Linked DNA regions of Nothobranchius furzeri. The protein of the gene in region 1 interacts with the protein of each later gene in a biochemical or structural test. Links are inferred from orthologs where the notes say so. Each region holds a gene or a part of one and is shown in the gene's direction. Other genes may lie near its edges. The genes, in order: rab27a, sytl4 and sytl1.

The links.
Region 2: the proteins of rab27a (region 1) and sytl4 form a complex in vitro, tested with the Homo sapiens proteins (2 studies listed by BioGRID). The link is inferred for Nothobranchius furzeri from reciprocal best matches to the Homo sapiens genes RAB27A and SYTL4.
Region 3: the proteins of rab27a (region 1) and sytl1 form a complex in vitro, tested with the Homo sapiens proteins (3 studies listed by BioGRID). The link is inferred for Nothobranchius furzeri from reciprocal best matches to the Homo sapiens genes RAB27A and SYTL1.

What each region holds. Positions count from the first base shown.
Region 1 is NC_091749.1:60,094,109-60,099,824, forward strand, and holds rab27a (ras-related protein Rab-27A), read left to right. Parts: upstream 1-2,164; coding exon 2,165-2,317; intron 2,318-3,056; coding exon 3,057-3,142; intron 3,143-3,227; coding exon 3,228-3,331; intron 3,332-3,511; coding exon 3,512-3,635; intron 3,636-4,027; coding exon 4,028-4,223; 3' UTR 4,224-4,726; downstream 4,727-5,716. UniProt on the Homo sapiens protein: Small GTPase which cycles between active GTP-bound and inactive GDP-bound states. In its active state, binds to a variety of effector proteins to regulate homeostasis of late endocytic pathway, including endosomal positioning, maturation and secretion.
Region 2 is NC_091741.1:84,920,201-84,925,931, forward strand, and holds the start of sytl4 (synaptotagmin-like protein 4), read left to right. Parts: upstream 1-2,207; 5' UTR 2,208-2,380; intron 2,381-2,477; 5' UTR 2,478-2,526; intron 2,527-3,450; 5' UTR 3,451-3,522; coding exon 3,523-3,641; intron 3,642-5,731. UniProt on the Homo sapiens protein: Modulates exocytosis of dense-core granules and secretion of hormones in the pancreas and the pituitary. Interacts with vesicles containing negatively charged phospholipids in a Ca(2+)-independent manner.
Region 3 is NC_091759.1:21,251,414-21,257,144, forward strand, and holds the start of sytl1 (synaptotagmin-like protein 1), read left to right. Parts: upstream 1-2,469; 5' UTR 2,470-2,627; intron 2,628-3,740; 5' UTR 3,741-3,742; coding exon 3,743-3,867; intron 3,868-5,731.

The sequences.
Region 1 (5,716 bases):
TCCGCTGCAAACTGTTCCAGCTACTCCATGCAGTCCGCTAAAAGCTAGTTTCCCTTGATGAAAGGTTAAAGTTGCTCAGATCCTCCTTCAGAACTTTTTACCTTCCTGAGTCAAAATGTTGACATCCTAGTTTCCTCTTTTGTGCATTCGTACTGTTTTTGTCCGTAATCCATTTTGTTCTTTTCTTACACAGTAAGAGTAGCTGTAGCCATCCTCCGAGATCTGAGCATGGCTACAGCCACTAGCTGAAACATGTAAGGTAAACAAATAACTTTTACTAAACTGTGGAAGAAACAAACAATAAAATGATAAAATGGATCCTAGTTTCCTGGTTGACTTTACCATTTATGGCCAAATCAGTTCTCCCTGCAGTCATTTCCATCACAACACATTTATCATGCATCTTGATTTTGCAAAAGACTAATCTGCTTTTGGGTCAGATTAAAGGCTCAGTGTTGCACATGCTGAAAGAATGCAAGGATTGTCTGAAATCTTATCAAGCCAGTGAACTGATCATGTGATACATCTGCTGCCATCTAACTGACCACAGCTAGCGAACCGTCGCAAATGAGCATTTCACATCCGATAGATCAAACAATGTACTTTTTCTAACCAGTTTATGTGGGACTTAATACAATTAATTAGCAGTTAAATAGTTGCGTCATAAGACTTAGAACATTTTAGTAAAGTTCTAACTGCATTCAGTAAAACTTGTAGATCTTTGGCTTAAGAAAAAACTAAACAAAATTGTATCTACACTGCGATGTTTCATACACACTTTAAACTTTAAAGCGTGTATGAAACATCCCAGTGTAGATACAGTTTTGTTATATTATACTCAAGGATATACTTGAGCCGTTTCATAAAATAAACATTAAATCTACTTATAAAAAGAAGACTTTTTACAAAATACTGTTGCAACAGCAGGGGTGGTGTTTCACAATCCATCAGACCAGCGGAGGTGCGGGAAACACACATAATTCCTTTTTCATCATCACTTAGTGTTTTGTTTTTACTTGTCAGAGCTGGGCATGTTACAGTTCGTAGATGATGACGATGATGATGATGATTAGCTGAATGTGTGGAGCTGCTGTAGGAGAACGGCTTTCTCTTCTGGAGGTTTAGATGCATCACAGCAAAGTAGACTTCCCCATGAAGTCTTTTGTTCCTTGGCAGCACTTCCTAAATGTTAAAGGTGTGGTAAACTTGTTTAATCAAAACATTTGCAGTAGTTTCTGGTAGGAGTGAATACCTTGCAAGCCATAATCGGGGCAAAAAAAGCCCAGAATTTCTTGGGTCAGCACCAGTCAGCACCGACAAGTCTGCTGCCACATAGAGGCCGGATTTGGAGTCTTATTTCCTGATATTTGAACACCTTGCCATGGATTGGATCACAACGATAATGCATCTTGCATTATGAAAGTTATTTATTTATTTATTTATTTATCTCTACAAATAACACAAGCATGGAGAAGTTTTTCTGTGTGGTGGTATTGCTAGTGCTAATGGTTAGCTTTTACTAGTTGGGACGTTGTCTGCTGTTTCCTGGACGTTAAAACAACAGCCTTCCCCATTGCCAGTCAAGATGAGTGAGTCCATGAATGTTAAATGTCAGAGTTTTCAAATCCTAGAGTTTACGGTCTATTTTCTATCAGAAAATAATGCAGGATTTGGGTGTAGGAGACTATTTTCATGTTCCGCCTGAATGAAAAGCTCAAAGTCACCGATTATAATCAGAAATAATAATTAAAAAATAGTTTTTCAGTGATCCGCACCTTTAAACCGTTTGTGGGTAGAGCGTAGGGCTTTCATCTGCAGGCTCTTTTTATTCCAGCTCTATATCTAAAATACTTTTGCTTTCTTTAAGCAGCTTAACTTCACTAGCTCCCGTGCTGCATCTGTTTAACACTGTTGCAATGCAACACAGTGATTTATAAAAATCCTAAATGTCTGTTACACAAATCAGAAAGCAGGGCTTTTCTGAGACACACCCACTTCAAGCCAAATGGTTATCCCTTCATGTACAGGATGAATGTGATTAAGTTTAGCTTTAAAATCAAAGTGTCAGGATTCCAAGCAAGAGGCTGGGCTGGGTTGTTCTTTATGGATCTTCTAATTTCACTTGTCTTCTTTGTGTCCCCTTTCCAGAAACTAAGGAACCACCATGTCTGAAGGGGACTATGATTACCTCATCAAGTTCCTAGCCCTGGGTGACTCCGGTGTGGGGAAAACCAGCTTTCTGTACCAGTACACCGACTGCAAGTTTAACTCCAAGTTCATCACTACAGTGGGAATAGACTTCAGAGAAAAAAGAAAGGTGAGGATTTATGTTAACCCAGTCTAACTGAAGATTTCTTTATTAGCCAGATACTCTGTGAACCAGCCGTAAATGCATTCCCACAGGATTAATCATTTTCTCTTAACAAAAGCCTGCTGATGGTTGTTGCAACAGAAACGGGGTGTGACTAAAGCTGGTTAATGGTAGGCAGCACCCTCCTTAAGAATAAACACTTCATACCATTGGCAAACAGCTGATTCAAGTTCATATTTACAATCTTCTTGCTTTAATGCTGCTGACATTCTCCACGAGGACATCCTGGTACTGAAATAACTTCACTAAATGTTAGAAATTAAAATGGGCTCTTTGGTAGGATTAGAGTAAGTGCTGTGAGAACAAATGTCCAAATGTTGCAGCTGTGATTTACTAAGTTAAATGTTAAATTATCAACAATCACCCGGAAGACCTTCAGAAGCCTTTTTATCCTTGCTGTTATTAATACATATTAAAATACAATTTCTAAAATCATACATGTAGATTCTCAGTTTTCCAGGACACTGTGATCCCAAAAGTTTGGGATAAAAAAAAAAAAATATATATATATATGTTTAGTTCATTTAAGGAAGCACCTAATTGTAAATATTCTCATCTCGAAATGCTTGGGCGGGGGGACTACAGGTTTTGCAAAAACTCGGTCAAATACCTTTGCATCCTGACAGGTTTCCAAACCAGTCAGATCGAGTTAGATACCTGACCTGTTTAGCATTTTTCACCTCAGGTGTACAATTCAAAAGGTCCAGATGGAACTTCAGGCAAAGGACAGAAGATCCACTTGCAGCTGTGGGACACTGCAGGACAGGAGAGGTATAAAATGTATTTTATATTACATCTTTCCCAACATTATTAATATATTCTGAAATTTGTTGGTTTGTCTCCTGGTGAATGTCAGGTTTCGAAGTTTGACGACTGCTTTTTTCCGAGATGCGATGGGTTTCCTCCTCCTGTTTGATCTGTCAAATGAGCAAAGTTTCCTCAACGTCAGAAACTGGATGAGTATGTCTCCTGATGTTATTACTCCGGAAGGTTTGACACATGATTAGCCCTCATTTGGTCAAAGTCAGGTGTAGCGCGAGCTTCGGCTGCCGCTGTGGTCATATTTCATAATTCTTGTCATTGTTCTTCTAAAAGCTGATGGATGAGAGCCAGGACTGAACACCTGATAATGTGTCTCAGGTCAGTTACAGGTTCACGCTTATTGTGAAAATCCAGATGTGGTTCTGTGTGGCAACAAATGTGACCTGTCGGATCAGAGAGCGGTCAGTGAAGATGAAGCTCGTGAACTGGCAGAGAAATATGGGTATGTTCGTGTGTTTTTGATCCATCCATGTTTAAACGTCTTCCTGAAAGGTTTGTGAAAGAGGCAGTGGCTGCGTTGTTTGCAGAACTCTGCTCAGTAAGACTGGACTGGTCCTCCTGAAGAGCAAATATTTGTCTACATGTATGAAACATCCGGTTCTGGTGCCGTTAGAAACGCCTGTAATCAGCAGCAATCTAAAGAAAAAGAAGTGTTAAATTACCTCAAGCAACAATATTTTCATTGGTTAGGTTCTGCGGTTAATACTCGTGATTTTAGTTCTGAAAGTGTTGGAGAAGGCCGTAGATGTGTTGGGGGTTTTGAGGTGTTTATGGGGGGTTTGTGGTTTCGGGTTAACTTGTAAGAGTGTTTTCTGATCATGTGACCTCACTCAGAATCCCATACTTTGAGACGAGTGCTGCGAATGGGCAGAACGTGAACGAGGCCGTGGACTTCCTGCTGGATCTCATCATGAAGAGGATGGAGCGGTGTGTCGATAAGTCCTGGATCCCAGACGGAACCGTCCACACTAACGGACCCACCAACTTGGACCTCTCAGAGGGCTCAGACCGAGGCAGATGCGCATGTTAGAGTAAATTGGGTTTCACATAGTATTGCAGAAAAAAAGAGAAATATCCAAGTATAAGAAAACGGGAGTTTTGTTTTGAAGCTCGTCTTGATCTACATCATCTGTGGTATTTGCCCCACAAAGCAGCAAGTTACAGGTTTGTCAGGGCAAGGGTTTGTGGATGGTTTATTTTGGTTAGGTGTGAGGTATTTATTTTTTTATGATGCCTACCGTACATATTTGGTTTCTTTCATCAATGCTGAACTGTTCTCTATGGAGCAGTGAGCCAGCAGGCTAATTAGCGCTTAAGTTTGATACGCCCGACTTTTTCAATGGGTGAAGTTTCAGGAACCTTCAGGTCACCACTTATGTGCCACTAATTCTTTACCAAGTGTCTTATTTCATGCTGTAATCTCACCAGAGCTAGGAGACCTATAGATCTCACTGTTCATTCAGTTTGCTAGGGGACGTTTTTATAAGTGCACTTTTGCTAACATTACAAAAAAATTCAGATATCAGAAATAAATATGTTAAAAAAAATAGCCTAGTTGTTTCAAATTCCGAAAGTACATATTTTGACCAACTCCATCCTTTCTTTCAAGTCTGAAACATTAATTTACAGCCTCTCGTTATTTTTTAAACTGAGTTCCTTTTGTCTGGGAGCTCTAATGACCCCCTTCTGCCTTCTGATCAAATACACACTAAAACAGAAGAGGACCAAATGATGACATTTCAGATAGCAGAGATAACATTCTTCTATAAAAAGGACTTGAATAGGTTACATTTGCATCCTTCAGAACTTAATTTTGTGGATATCTTCCTAGAATGCATCCAGTTTAATTTCAACAAAGTTTGCTGTTCTCAGGATTGTCTTTTTCACGTATCAATCAGCTGGTCCAACCTTTAAATACAGTATAATACTCCTTTAGTTTAAGAGTTCATAAAAACTTGCCAAAATTTTTAAGGTGAAACTGTTGTGGAGGTTCATAAAAATGACTATTTGTATTAATCAGCTGATATAATGTGACTTCAGGGATAAAGGAACTTTTACTCTGAGATGTGATGTTTGTTACCTTTACTAGAAGACCACTTTGATGACAAATTAGTGAATTATTCAATAGTTGTTTACTTAAAATGTGCCGGGTTGCTGAATGGGTTTATTTTCGAAAACTAAGAAGATGAAGTGTTGCTTTATAAAAAAGCCAGTTGCTATGGGTCTGTATATTAGTTTACTGTCACTGTCAGTCCTACTGATCTTTTTCTAATGTTTTACAAAAGTCATAAACACTGGATTAACAGGATTTAAAAGTTAAACACGCTTACACTTTCCTGCAGCAGCTCTACTGTGGTTGCAGACTTTGCCTTATTGATGCTTGCCTCTTTTCTCCTGTTAAAGAGTAGATGTAGTGTTTTAAACACAATTGTATTCTGATTTTCCGTCCATGAATTTAAATATTTGAATATTTTTCATTAAGAATAGATGTTATATTGGTTAGTCTGAAGTATATGATGCATG
Region 2 (5,731 bases), on another chromosome or scaffold:
AAGTATCTCAAGAATTGTAAGTGTGAAAATAGAAATATTAAATTGATCCAAATAAGGAATAATTAATGTCATTTGTAGTTATTAAGGTTCTTTTTTACATCCGCTGGACAGAGCCGTGTCCAGGACTTTTAAAATGGGGTGGCCCATGTGGGGCACTTGCTTATGCATGGGTGGCACCAATGGTTATGCTTATTTATTTATTTATTTACACAAATCGTTTATTTATTGTGAATTTCGGAGTTTCACATTGCACAATCACCATTTTTTCTATTCATCTTCTAGTTTTGTGGTGGTTAGCAAGTCACTTCTTGTTGCATTATTGCCACCAACTGGAGTTGAGTGGGACTCTAAATACTATTTATGTGAATATAAAAAATAAATAATATTAATAAATGTTCTGTAGGCCTGGGCTAGAAGATAATGTTAAAGGTGCATGCTACCACACACTATTTTTGGAGTTTACAACTCACGCCTTTTGTCGACAATGTAAAGTCAGTTTAAATTGGAACTTGGTAGGGTGGCACCTGGGGTGGCCAATCAGATTCTAAGGGTGGCATGTGCTACCCCAGGCCACTCCCTGGACACGCCCCTGCCGCTGGAGGATCAGACTGCCAAGGTCCCTGCTTTTGGCTACTACCCTGACACACAATGCACCCAACCCCTTTGGCCCCTCCCACTAGTGGTGAGCTCATGAAAAGGGGGACCCATGTCTCCTCTTTGGGCTGTGCTCGGCCGGGCACCACGGGTAAAAGCCCGACCTCTAGGCGCTCACCAACATGCCCCAACTCCAGGCCTGGCTCCAGACGGGGGCCCCGGTGACCCGTGTCCGGGCTATCACAGAATGTGACCATCTGAATCTCAGTAATAATGCAGATGTCTTTAATTTTCACTAAAGATAATTACAACAAAAGGGTTTTCGTGATGTTTGTGTCATTTTATTTCCCTTTTTATCTCCACCAGTACATATGAGTGGCATTGGAGTGACGGGGGGAAAACGTAGCAACCAGATAATCTAATCAATTTCCCTCTGGGATTAATAAAGTATTTTTGAATTGAATTGAATCTGCACTGGTTTCTAATAAACTGAGGATGTGCATCACAACAATTAATTTCAATAAATGGAAGTTCTGAACATTTTACCTGCAGACCTCGCATGTTGTAAAATCAATGTTTAATGTTAGCAAACATTTCTTGTCAAAGCCCTGGTTATCGCTGCATTTATTGTCCTGTTTGTTTGTAATAAACATTGACAAACGCTCTTTTTAATATCCATGGCCCGCGCCGCACAACTTCCTCAAAGCTTACGTAGTTTACGGTTTTAACGTAGCATCTTCTTTTATGCCAAGTCAGGATGTACAGATGCAATAAAACGCAACACTGACCCCTGGGGTCACAAATTGTGATGGGTCGCAGAATTTGGTGTAACACCTGTTGGCATGGACATAGTTTGGGCGGGGGACACTTTATCTAAAGTCACATTTTGTCCCCTGCACTTTTTACCGTCCAAAAACAACATTACGCTATATTAAATATCACTTGTTGAGCACTAGGACCAAGTGGTAAACAACCGCTTTTGTTGAAGCCTGTTTCCCATTAGAACCATCCATAAGCCTGCCACCTGTGTACTTGACAGTTCTGCATTCCTGACATTGCATAAAAGAGCCTCTAGGCAGTAGTTTTATACATTTTTTTTGTATACTTAATATAAACTTAACTTTAGACTCATCTTGCTTCATCTTGCTAAATGTTCAGTTTAAAATAGCCATTTTTGTTTTTAGAAATCAACACCTGGCCGTAAAAATACATTTAAATTTCATAATTACTCTTTACTTTAAAAATATTTAGGATTTATAAAAATTGAGACAGTTAAGTTTTATTCATATATGTCTATTTTTATTATAAAACGCTAAAAGCTATAAATGTGTTAATGAAATACTTTTGCATTCAGTACTCCATACTTTATGAAAAGAAAGTTGTTTCATTTTAGTCTAAAAGATTCCTTGTTGTTAAAAAAACACCTTCAAGCCAGTTTTCGTCTGAAAGGGGAAACTTTATAAAAGCGCACCTCGCTCGCTGTTCCAGGTGAGGAGGAAAGCAGGGGGAAAGCTGTTTCTGGCACTTTTGGCTAATTATTACTGCAGCGTACTAGTGGGCCAAAATTTCCACATCCAGCGGTTGTAGAGAGCAAAAACAAAACAGGCACTTGTCATGGAAAATAAGGAGGAGAGGAGCTGACTGCTACGAACTTTTCCTTTTCTTCCGGTCTTGTGAGGGGGGGAAAGAAAAGAGAAGTCCAACTCGGTCCGACCAGCGGGAGTCAGTAAAGGCAGCGAGCCAACACGGAGCTCGGTTACGGTTCAGCTCCTGACCGACAACAAGAGTAAGTAAAGTTTCCTGTAGCAACGTGATAGTTTAGTTCCCTGTCTTTTTGTCTAGAGTTGAACTTGTTTATCCTTTTTTTTTTGTTTTTGTGTCAGGAACATATCGCTCTGCTTAGGGGAGTGTGGTCGTCTCCACCAGCAGCAGGTGTGTGTAATCCTTCAAATTTGTCAAATTATGGCAGAGTTGAGTGAAAGTGTTTTATTTTTTTTACTTTCCATTTTAGCGTGACTTTATGGTTGTAAGCAGACTATTATTTTTTATGTGGTTATGCCACTTAGCTGAACGTAATTGATTTGCGTACGTCAACGTTTTTAACCGTTGGAAATGTGAACAGTTAAAACCGTCAGTGGTAAATATACCTCTTTTTAATGAAAACTTCAACCGAAAAGATCGTATTTAAAAATAGGAGTAATTTATTTTAAATATTAAATTTGTTTTTAATCATTTACAACAACCCTGCATAATGCTATCCCGCATTTTAAATAACACGTTCATAACAGATCAAAATAACTTAATTCAAACGCCATTTCCTGGATGTAGAAGTTGTCCTGTAGCGGTTTGTAATTTAAACTCGAGTTAGCTGGCATTCAAACAATGAGGAAAAGGATATCCATTTAATTAAAGCACACAAGTGGTTTAATGCTCCACTCCACCCGCTGTGTCCTTAGGGTGGGAACCCTCCATGCTACATACCCGTGATCATGTTGTTTTAGCCTTCCTTATTCAAAACAACCTTTTACCCTGGCAGAGTCTTCCTGTGGGATTTTTATTTATCCTCATCATTTATCATTTTGGATGGCCTTTGACTTGTCATGTCATGGGAAATCTGTGTGCTGGCTTTATCAAGATGCACAGGCTAATGTTTTTTACCCTAGATGACGTTAATTTTTGTATTTCAAAAGCATGCACCAGAATAAAGATGTAATCTAGTGTGAAGTGAGTCTTGTTCCTTTAGCTTTTCCTCTCTGATCGGCTACATTGAGTTATCCAGGTTTAACCTAATTGTTTTTGCCTACTCAGAGCAGAAATGTTTAGTCAAGTCCTAATGATGATTTCTCTCTCTCTAAGGACCCAGGCTCAATGCAGCATTAACAAGGTTGAGTCAATCCACCTGCCCTGGCGGTTCTGGGTGAAGGCACCATGCCGGAGGCTCTTGATTCGATCAACCTGGGCTTCCTGTCCGACTCCGAGCGTGAGCTGGTCCTGGATGTGCTGCGACGAGACGAGGAGCTCAGGCTGGTTGAAGAACAGCGTGTGCGGTGAGAAGAGTGCTTCCTGTTACTTTGCACAAGAGCCAAAATATGTTAATTAAAAGACAAATTTAACATTTAATCTTGCATAAGTTTCTCTCTAGGCCTGGAATAGTGTCTCTTTCAGTTTTCCCTCAGATATCCAAGTTCAGTTTTAAGTTTGTCACAGTTGAGGATTAAATATTGCCATCCTACAGCAGCAGTGCTCTGTATCTTATTAGCTGTTGTAGTATTTAATATAACCAGGAATTTACTCTAAAACCCAAATTTGTCTTTGTCAGACATGACATGCTTGTCAACCACACACCCCTGGCGCCACTTTAGGTGTATGACTCGCGTTGCTAGGGGAAGCCGCAGCACACCAGTCAAAAGGACGGATAAAAAGAACAACAAACACATCCCTTACAGGGATAAACTAGTTGATATCAATGTAAGTTAGAAGCAGGTACAGAAACATTACAGTCAGAGGTCACACTAGACATCTTTGTCATTTTGACCGACAGAGTTTACAAAACGGTCATGATCGTCATTTTCATTTCTCGGATAATAAATTAAAATAAACAATTTCATTTTCATTCATATTTGGTCCAAACAAGCTGACCAGTGTGTCCAGCAACATATTAATGTTACAATTAAACAATTTCACTTAAATTAGGAACATTTTACCTGCAACATTCTGTTCTTCCTGTTGGCCTGTGACCTACAGACGTGCTCCGAGCTGCTCTTCACAGCTCCTCAGTGCACAGATGGTGAGCTGTGCTGATCATGGTGTCTATGAGATAATGCTCAGATGTTCTGATGGGAATCTTTTCTTGATTAATTTGTTACCTCCGATGTTCTCTGTGCTTAATGTTTAAAATGTCCGCTCACCTACATGTGATTCCTGTCTGTCAGAAAGACCAACAGCCTTGAGATTTTTCATCAAAAAAACAATAAACATAATGGGGAAATATCCGATTAACGCGATGCTTGCCTACATTTAACTTTTACTTTTTTGCGAAGATGGTTGCAAAGCTCTAGAGAAACTAACCCGATTAACATCAAAGCAGAGGTGCACTGCACCATTAACTCCATGACTGTAAATGACAAAAAAAGATCGGATCCTTTTCTTACTTTTTCAACATTATTTATTGTAAAGTTCCATTCGTGTTGTTCGGTACACAGTTTAATGACAAAGATCTGTTCTCTGAACCGTTGAAACATCTTCCACACAAAGACACACCTTAAAAAAGCTGCATGTGCCCAAATACTGGGGATGAGCAAGTACACCACTATCTGTATCTGTATCTGTTCAACTAACTAAATTATCTGTATCTGTACTCGGAATGGGCGGAGCATAACCCGGAAGTGGGCGTGGCTTAACCGGAAGTGGGTGTGGTTTACATCAATATATTATTTTAAGTCTGAAATTGATATGGATTGATCAGAAGTTGATATGTGTATTGTTTATTTGAAAACTATTTACAGAGCAGCCTCAGAATAGATTAAATATTTTTGATCACAATAGAAAAGGAACTATTACAAAACAAGTGTTTCAATAAAATCAGAACATTAATATTTAAGTGCATGGATTAATACATCTGAACTCATGCAGTAGGAACTAGGAAATATGAAATACTATAACCAGACACAACTTTATATATTTTTTTTATTTTAATTTGATTAAACTGATTTTTTTCTTAACGTTCTTGGCATTTTCCCACACAAAGTTAAACAAAACAATGTTGATTGAGGTGTGTGTGTGTGTCTGTGTCTGTGTGTGTGTGTGTGTGTGTGTGTGTGTGAGAGAGAGAGAGAGAGATAGAGAGGGAGAGAGAGGGAGTTAAAAATAAATAAAAAAAAAACCAACCGGAGAGGAGGTAGAGACGCAGCACGTCAGCTCTGTCTTGTCAAATGCACCATGTAAGTTACGAAAAAAGTTACTTTAAATATTCAACCGAAAAAGAGGCGAGCTGAAGCAAATCTAAGGAAAACTGAAGAAACGTGAGCAACAGTGAAGGAATCACAGCGAGATCCATTACTGTCTGTGTGTGTGCGTGGATGAGCCGGACGGACTGCGCTCCCGGCCGGCTAGAGTTTTGTGTGTAGGGAGGGGCGGG
Region 3 (5,731 bases), on another chromosome or scaffold:
CAAAAAAGTCTCTTGGAGCCAATCACAAAATTGCACAGGAAGTCGGCCATTTTGGTCCAAGTACGCGATTTAGTGGTTTTCGCACACGTTGTTTGGAGAGTGATGCTCCGTCGCCCTTTTCACCAATCGCCTTCAAACTTCTGCTATATACTCTTAAGGCATAGGGGAAAAAATTCAACCGTCGGATTTTTCAAAAGTTGAAAGGTGTGGGCGTGGCTAAGCCTCAAACTTTGACCTGTCGCCGCGCCACTCTTTTTTTCACAGCTCCCTACTGGACTCCTTTTACCCAATCGGCAGGATTCTCTGGCAAATAGCAGTAGACAACTTGAGGTCACTTGGTATCCAGTACTGGAAGGTTTCAAAAAAAGGCGGGGCTTTGGGAGCATCTCGAAAATCGCCATCACGCCATGGAAATACGTTTGCCTCTCATTTCTTCATTTATCGTGTTATTGTTACGAAACTTCTGGTGAGTGATCCTAGTCTGACCCCAAAGAGACATAGACACCTGAAATATGTGGGCGTGGCCTAATTTCTGAAATAGCGCCCCCTAGGACCATTTAAACTATTAGCCCCAAGCCATGCTTTCACTGAGGATTACGAAATTTGGTACACTAATGTGGTGTCCCAGGACCTACAAAAAAGTCTCTTGGAGCCAAGCACAAAATTGCACAGGAAGTCGGCCATTTTGGTCCAAGTACGCGATTTAGTGGTTTTCGCACACGTTGTTTGGAGAGTGATGCTCCTTCGCCCTTTTCACCAATCGCCTTCAAACTTCTGCTATATACTCTTAAGGCATAGGGGAAAAAAGTCAACCGTCGGATTTTTCAAAAGTTGAAAGGTGTAGGCGTGGCTAAGCCTCAAACTTTGACCTTTCGCCACGCCACTCTTTTTTTCACAGCTCCCTATTGGACTCCTTTTACCCAATCACCTGGAATATCTTGTAAATAGCAGCTGACAAGTTGAGGTCACTTGGTCTACAGTACTGGCAGGTTTTGAAAAAAAGGCGGGGCTTTGGGAGCATGGCGAAATTCTCCATCACGCCATGGCAATACGTTTGCCTCTCATTTCTTCAATTATCGTGACATCGCCACAAAATGTCTGGTGAGTGATCCTAGTCTGACCCCCAATAGAAATGGGCATCTGAGATTTGTGGGCGTGGCCTATATTCTGAAATAGCGCCCCCTAGGACCATTAAAACTGTCAGCCCCAAGACAAGGTTTGACTGAGGATTACGAAAATTGGTACACTCATGTAGGGTCTCCGGACCTACAAAAAAGTATCTTGGAGCCAAGCGCAATTTCGCACAGGAGGTCGGCCATTTTGGTCCAAGTTCTCGATTTAGTGGTTTTCGCACACGTTGTTTGGACATTGATGGCCCGTTGCCCTTTACATCGATCACCTTCAAACTTATGCTATGTACTTTTAAGTCAAAGGGGAAAAAATTCAACCGTCGGATTTTAAATAAGTATAAAGGTGTGGGCGTGGCTAAGCCTCAAAGTTTGACCTTTCGCCATGACATTACTTGACTTAATAACTCCCATGTGCATGATCAGATCTAATTCAAACTTTGTCTGTGTGATCACTGACCACATCTCAAGACAACGACAATGTGGACAGCTGACATCACCTAAGCCCCGCCCCCTGACAACAGGAAGTCTATTGTTTTATGGTGAAATGCCCATATTTGTCCCCTCTAATTTAGTGAAAATGACACTCAGGTCATACAGTGTCTTCATGATGTTTTAAAGACCATTCAGATCTGATAGCTTTCCAGAAAGGGAGGGGCTTTGATGCCATGGTGAATGCTGGCGTGACGCCATGACCTTACATTTGACTGTAACTTCCACAAACGGCCTCCGATTTGCCCGAAACTGAATATGGCAATGAACAATCATGCCCTTTAGCCAATGAGGCACAAACGGTTGGTGAATGTTATATAATGTCACCAAAGCTGACCTCAATGGGACTTTTCTGTAGTTGGTCACAGCGCCACCTAGATAACGTTATCCTTCGATAACTTTAAAAAACATGGTCAGAATAGCATTAAAGTTGGTCACTGTCATCACACCACCAGTGTGGTAAAGATAGAGGATTCCCTAGTGGTGAGACATAAAATATAATGGTGGGCTCAAAGGGGATGCTGAGTCAGGGTGAGTTGCGGACAAGGTGGCCGTTAGCAGTTTCTGGTGTTGGGGTGGTCGACGTTTGTTTTCTGCGGACGTGCCCTGGTGCCCCGGGCTGCCGGCCAGGCAGGAGCGGTGCAGAGCTGCGAGGGCCGAACGACGCTGCTTGCAGCTTTAATTATTTCTTGTTATTTAAAGGTGTTATAGACAGACTCTTGCTTGAATGTCCCACGTGCCAGATTGTGGTCCAAATCCCTTACTTTGAAGCAACTTCTGCATGCGAACAACTTGTGTGTGTGTGTGTGTGTGTGTGTGTGTGTGTGTGTGTGTGTGTGTGTGTGTGTGTGTGTTTGCTCTCAGGCTCTCCCCTGAGCAGAGGGTGTGTTCACTCCGTTTACTCAACACACACTCCATACACACTTCATACATGCGCGCGCGCGCGCTCTCTGGACAACTTTTCCTCGACTCCTCACAGATGGAAGCGACGGAAGACGTCAAGTAAAGGTACTCCCACCGTGTTTTTGTCCGTTTTGACAAGAGGTCAAAGAGTTAAATAAATGCTAGAGACAGGTGTTTTCTCTCACGCGCTGATTAGGACCAGACAAGAGCCGCGCGAGCCCGTTTTCCACCGATAGAAACACGTTTAAAGCGGGCTAGTCTAAAACAAATACAAATAATTAACTCGACTTAAAGCGGTTATGGATTTAAGAACGATGATAAGTGAAACAAACATTCGAGCAGGAAACGATGTTGTAGTGAACTCAAACAGGTTTTGTTTGTTTTTCGTGGAAAAACTGCGGTTAACTTGTTAAGTTTGCTAAGCAAACCCCGTTGCGCATGCGCGAGCTTAAAGTAAAAAAAGCAGTTCTTAACCACAAATAAACCTTTTTTCTTTACGCAGCAGAGTGCTTACTGGTGCGTGAGAAGGCTTCTAAGTCTACGTTAAACTTTTTAAAATTAAGTGTATAACTGAAGCAAGCAGAGTAATGTTTACTATATGACAAAAAAGTTAATTAGGCCAACAACGTTCTGTAAATAATCAATAATGACTGAAAACTTCCTGCTTTTAAACACAAACCTTTAAAATAAAGGCTATTTTAATATTTGTAGGATTTAATTTGGATTTCAGCTCACTAAATACTCAAAAATGATTGACAGCTCTCTGGATTCGTGCAGATTCGCACTAAAAACTATTTGGATCAGAAGTGGAATGAATCGGTGTATTTTGTAGAGACAGTGTTGTTTCCTCGCCCACTCCTGGACTCTTGAATTAATTATGTTCCATAATTTTTGTAATTGACGGACGTTTAAATCTTTGTGACTTTGTGGCTAATCTTTATTTTCTGTAGTGTTTAGCCCCACATTGGTTTGTATAGATTATATTTCTTTGTGCTCTGAATGAATGATATTTTGTTTAATATTTGGAATAGTTTTCCCACTTATAGGCCATTCTTCATGTTTTTGAAGCACTTTTTTTCTGTGCATTCTCATTTATCTCACAACAAGTGTGTCTCTCTATTTCTCTAACAGATCCCTTCTGCTAAAGTGCCTTGCTAAATAATATGATTAAACATTGAAGCATTTGTATTTGAGGATAAAAGCATTCATCTTCTACAGGAATGGCAGGGAAGCAAGTTGACTCGTCTCTTGACCTGAGCCACCTGACGGAGGAGGAGCAGTCCTCCATCTTGCAGGTCTTACAGCGTGACCTGGAGTTGCGTCATCTCGATGAAGGTCGTATAAGGTCAGGCGTGGTTCTCCCCGGGGAGAATGTTCAACAAGTAAACGGATGTGAAACACAAAATGTCTGAGTCAAGAAAAGGACTGGTGGTAATTTCATGGTTCCGTCAACAACAGGAAGTGGTCCTGAAGCTGCCCCAGACATCACTCTGCCTCCTCCATGTTTGACTGTTGCTACAGTGTTTCAGTGTTAGTTTTACTATTGATGGAATGGGATGCATTTCTTCTAGAAAATTCCGCTTTTGTCCCACCAGACAACAGAACATGTACCTAGAGGTCTTTGGGGTAAATGTGAGACGGGTCTTTAGGCCCGTTTCCCCCATCAGAACTTCCGGGTAATTTTACCAGACCTTGCTGACATTCCCGTTTCTCAGTTTCACTGAACCGGCCCCAAAAAGGACCATCCTTAAGGTCATTTCAGGGACCAACTGAGTATCCGACCAGGAAATTGTCCAGTTAGAGGTTGAGGGCGGGACTTGAGATTAGCTCATTCTGATTGGTTGTACCAAGTTGTACGATTGTGCTTTTTTAACCAGCGTCGATTGGCCAGAATTAAGCCCCTGCTGTCCAGAGCACGTCTAGAGTCTGTCACCCATGCTTTTATTCTTTCAAGGCTTGGCTACTGTATGCCGGCCTGAGTCAGGGCGCAGTAGCACGCCCTTCAGCTAGTACAAAACTCAGCAGCTAGGTTTGTGACAGCGACTAGGCGCAGGGACTATGTCAGCCTTGTGTTGGCATCCCTTCACTGGCTGCCAATGCAGTATGGGGCAAAATTTAAGGTCTTGGTACTGATATACAAGGCCCTACAAGGAACGGCGCTAGCATATCTTGTCAGCCTTTAGCATAAACACGCTCCTTTGCGGGCCCTGCGCTTGGCCGATGGGGAGCTGTTGATGGTTCCGTGGTCCAAGAGCGGGTCACGGGGAACCATGTGTTTTCGGTGTTGCTCCTACACTTTGAAACCAGTTTCCTTTGGTGGTGCGTCAGTCACCTTCATTGATGGCTTTTAAGACTCGCCTGAAGACCCACTTTTATGTAGAGGCTTTCCAGGATTAGCATTTTTTACTTGGTTTCGTTGCCCTGGCCTCTTATTCTTTTTGAACATTTAATCTTCTCTCTTTTACAGTTTTTATGTTGGTTTTATGATTGTTACATTTTATTTGATGGTTTTATGTTTTATTTGTGTTGTGTTCAGCACCTTGGGGGGTCTGCGTCGGCCGTGAGTTCGGGTTAGGAAGGGGCTTTATAAACAAATAAATGAAATGACAATGAAATGATTTCCTGAAATTTGGATATTTCACCTCTGATTGGCTAACAGCAGCGTGACTTTACCACTGATTGTTTGCTCTGCAACGTCGATGTTTTACCTCCACAAATAACACAAGCCTGGACGAGTTTTGCCGTGTGGTGGAGTTGCTAATGCTAACGTTTAGCTTCTACTAGCCGAGACGTTCTCTGCTGTTTCCTGGACGCTAAACCAACAACAGCCTTCTCTTTCCTGAATCAAGATGGGTGAGTCCATGAATGACAAGTGTGACGTAGATCTGTCGGGGTTTGCTAATCCTAGAGTCTATTTTCTATCAGAGGCTAATGCAGGAGATAGGTGTAGGAGACTATTTTCTTGTTCAGCTTGCATGAAAAATTCACAGTGACTGATTATAATCAGAAATAGTCATTAAAAATGGTTTTTCAGTGTTTCACATCTTCAAACTTCAGAACAAATAGAAAAAATGTTTATTTTCATATTTTGTCTTGCACACACTTGTTAGGTTTTCATTGCATCAGCTCCTGTTTCTGATGTATTCCAACATCATTCCTAACATCAATAAAGAAGCATGTGACAGTTTGCTGATAATCTCGGCCCCCCC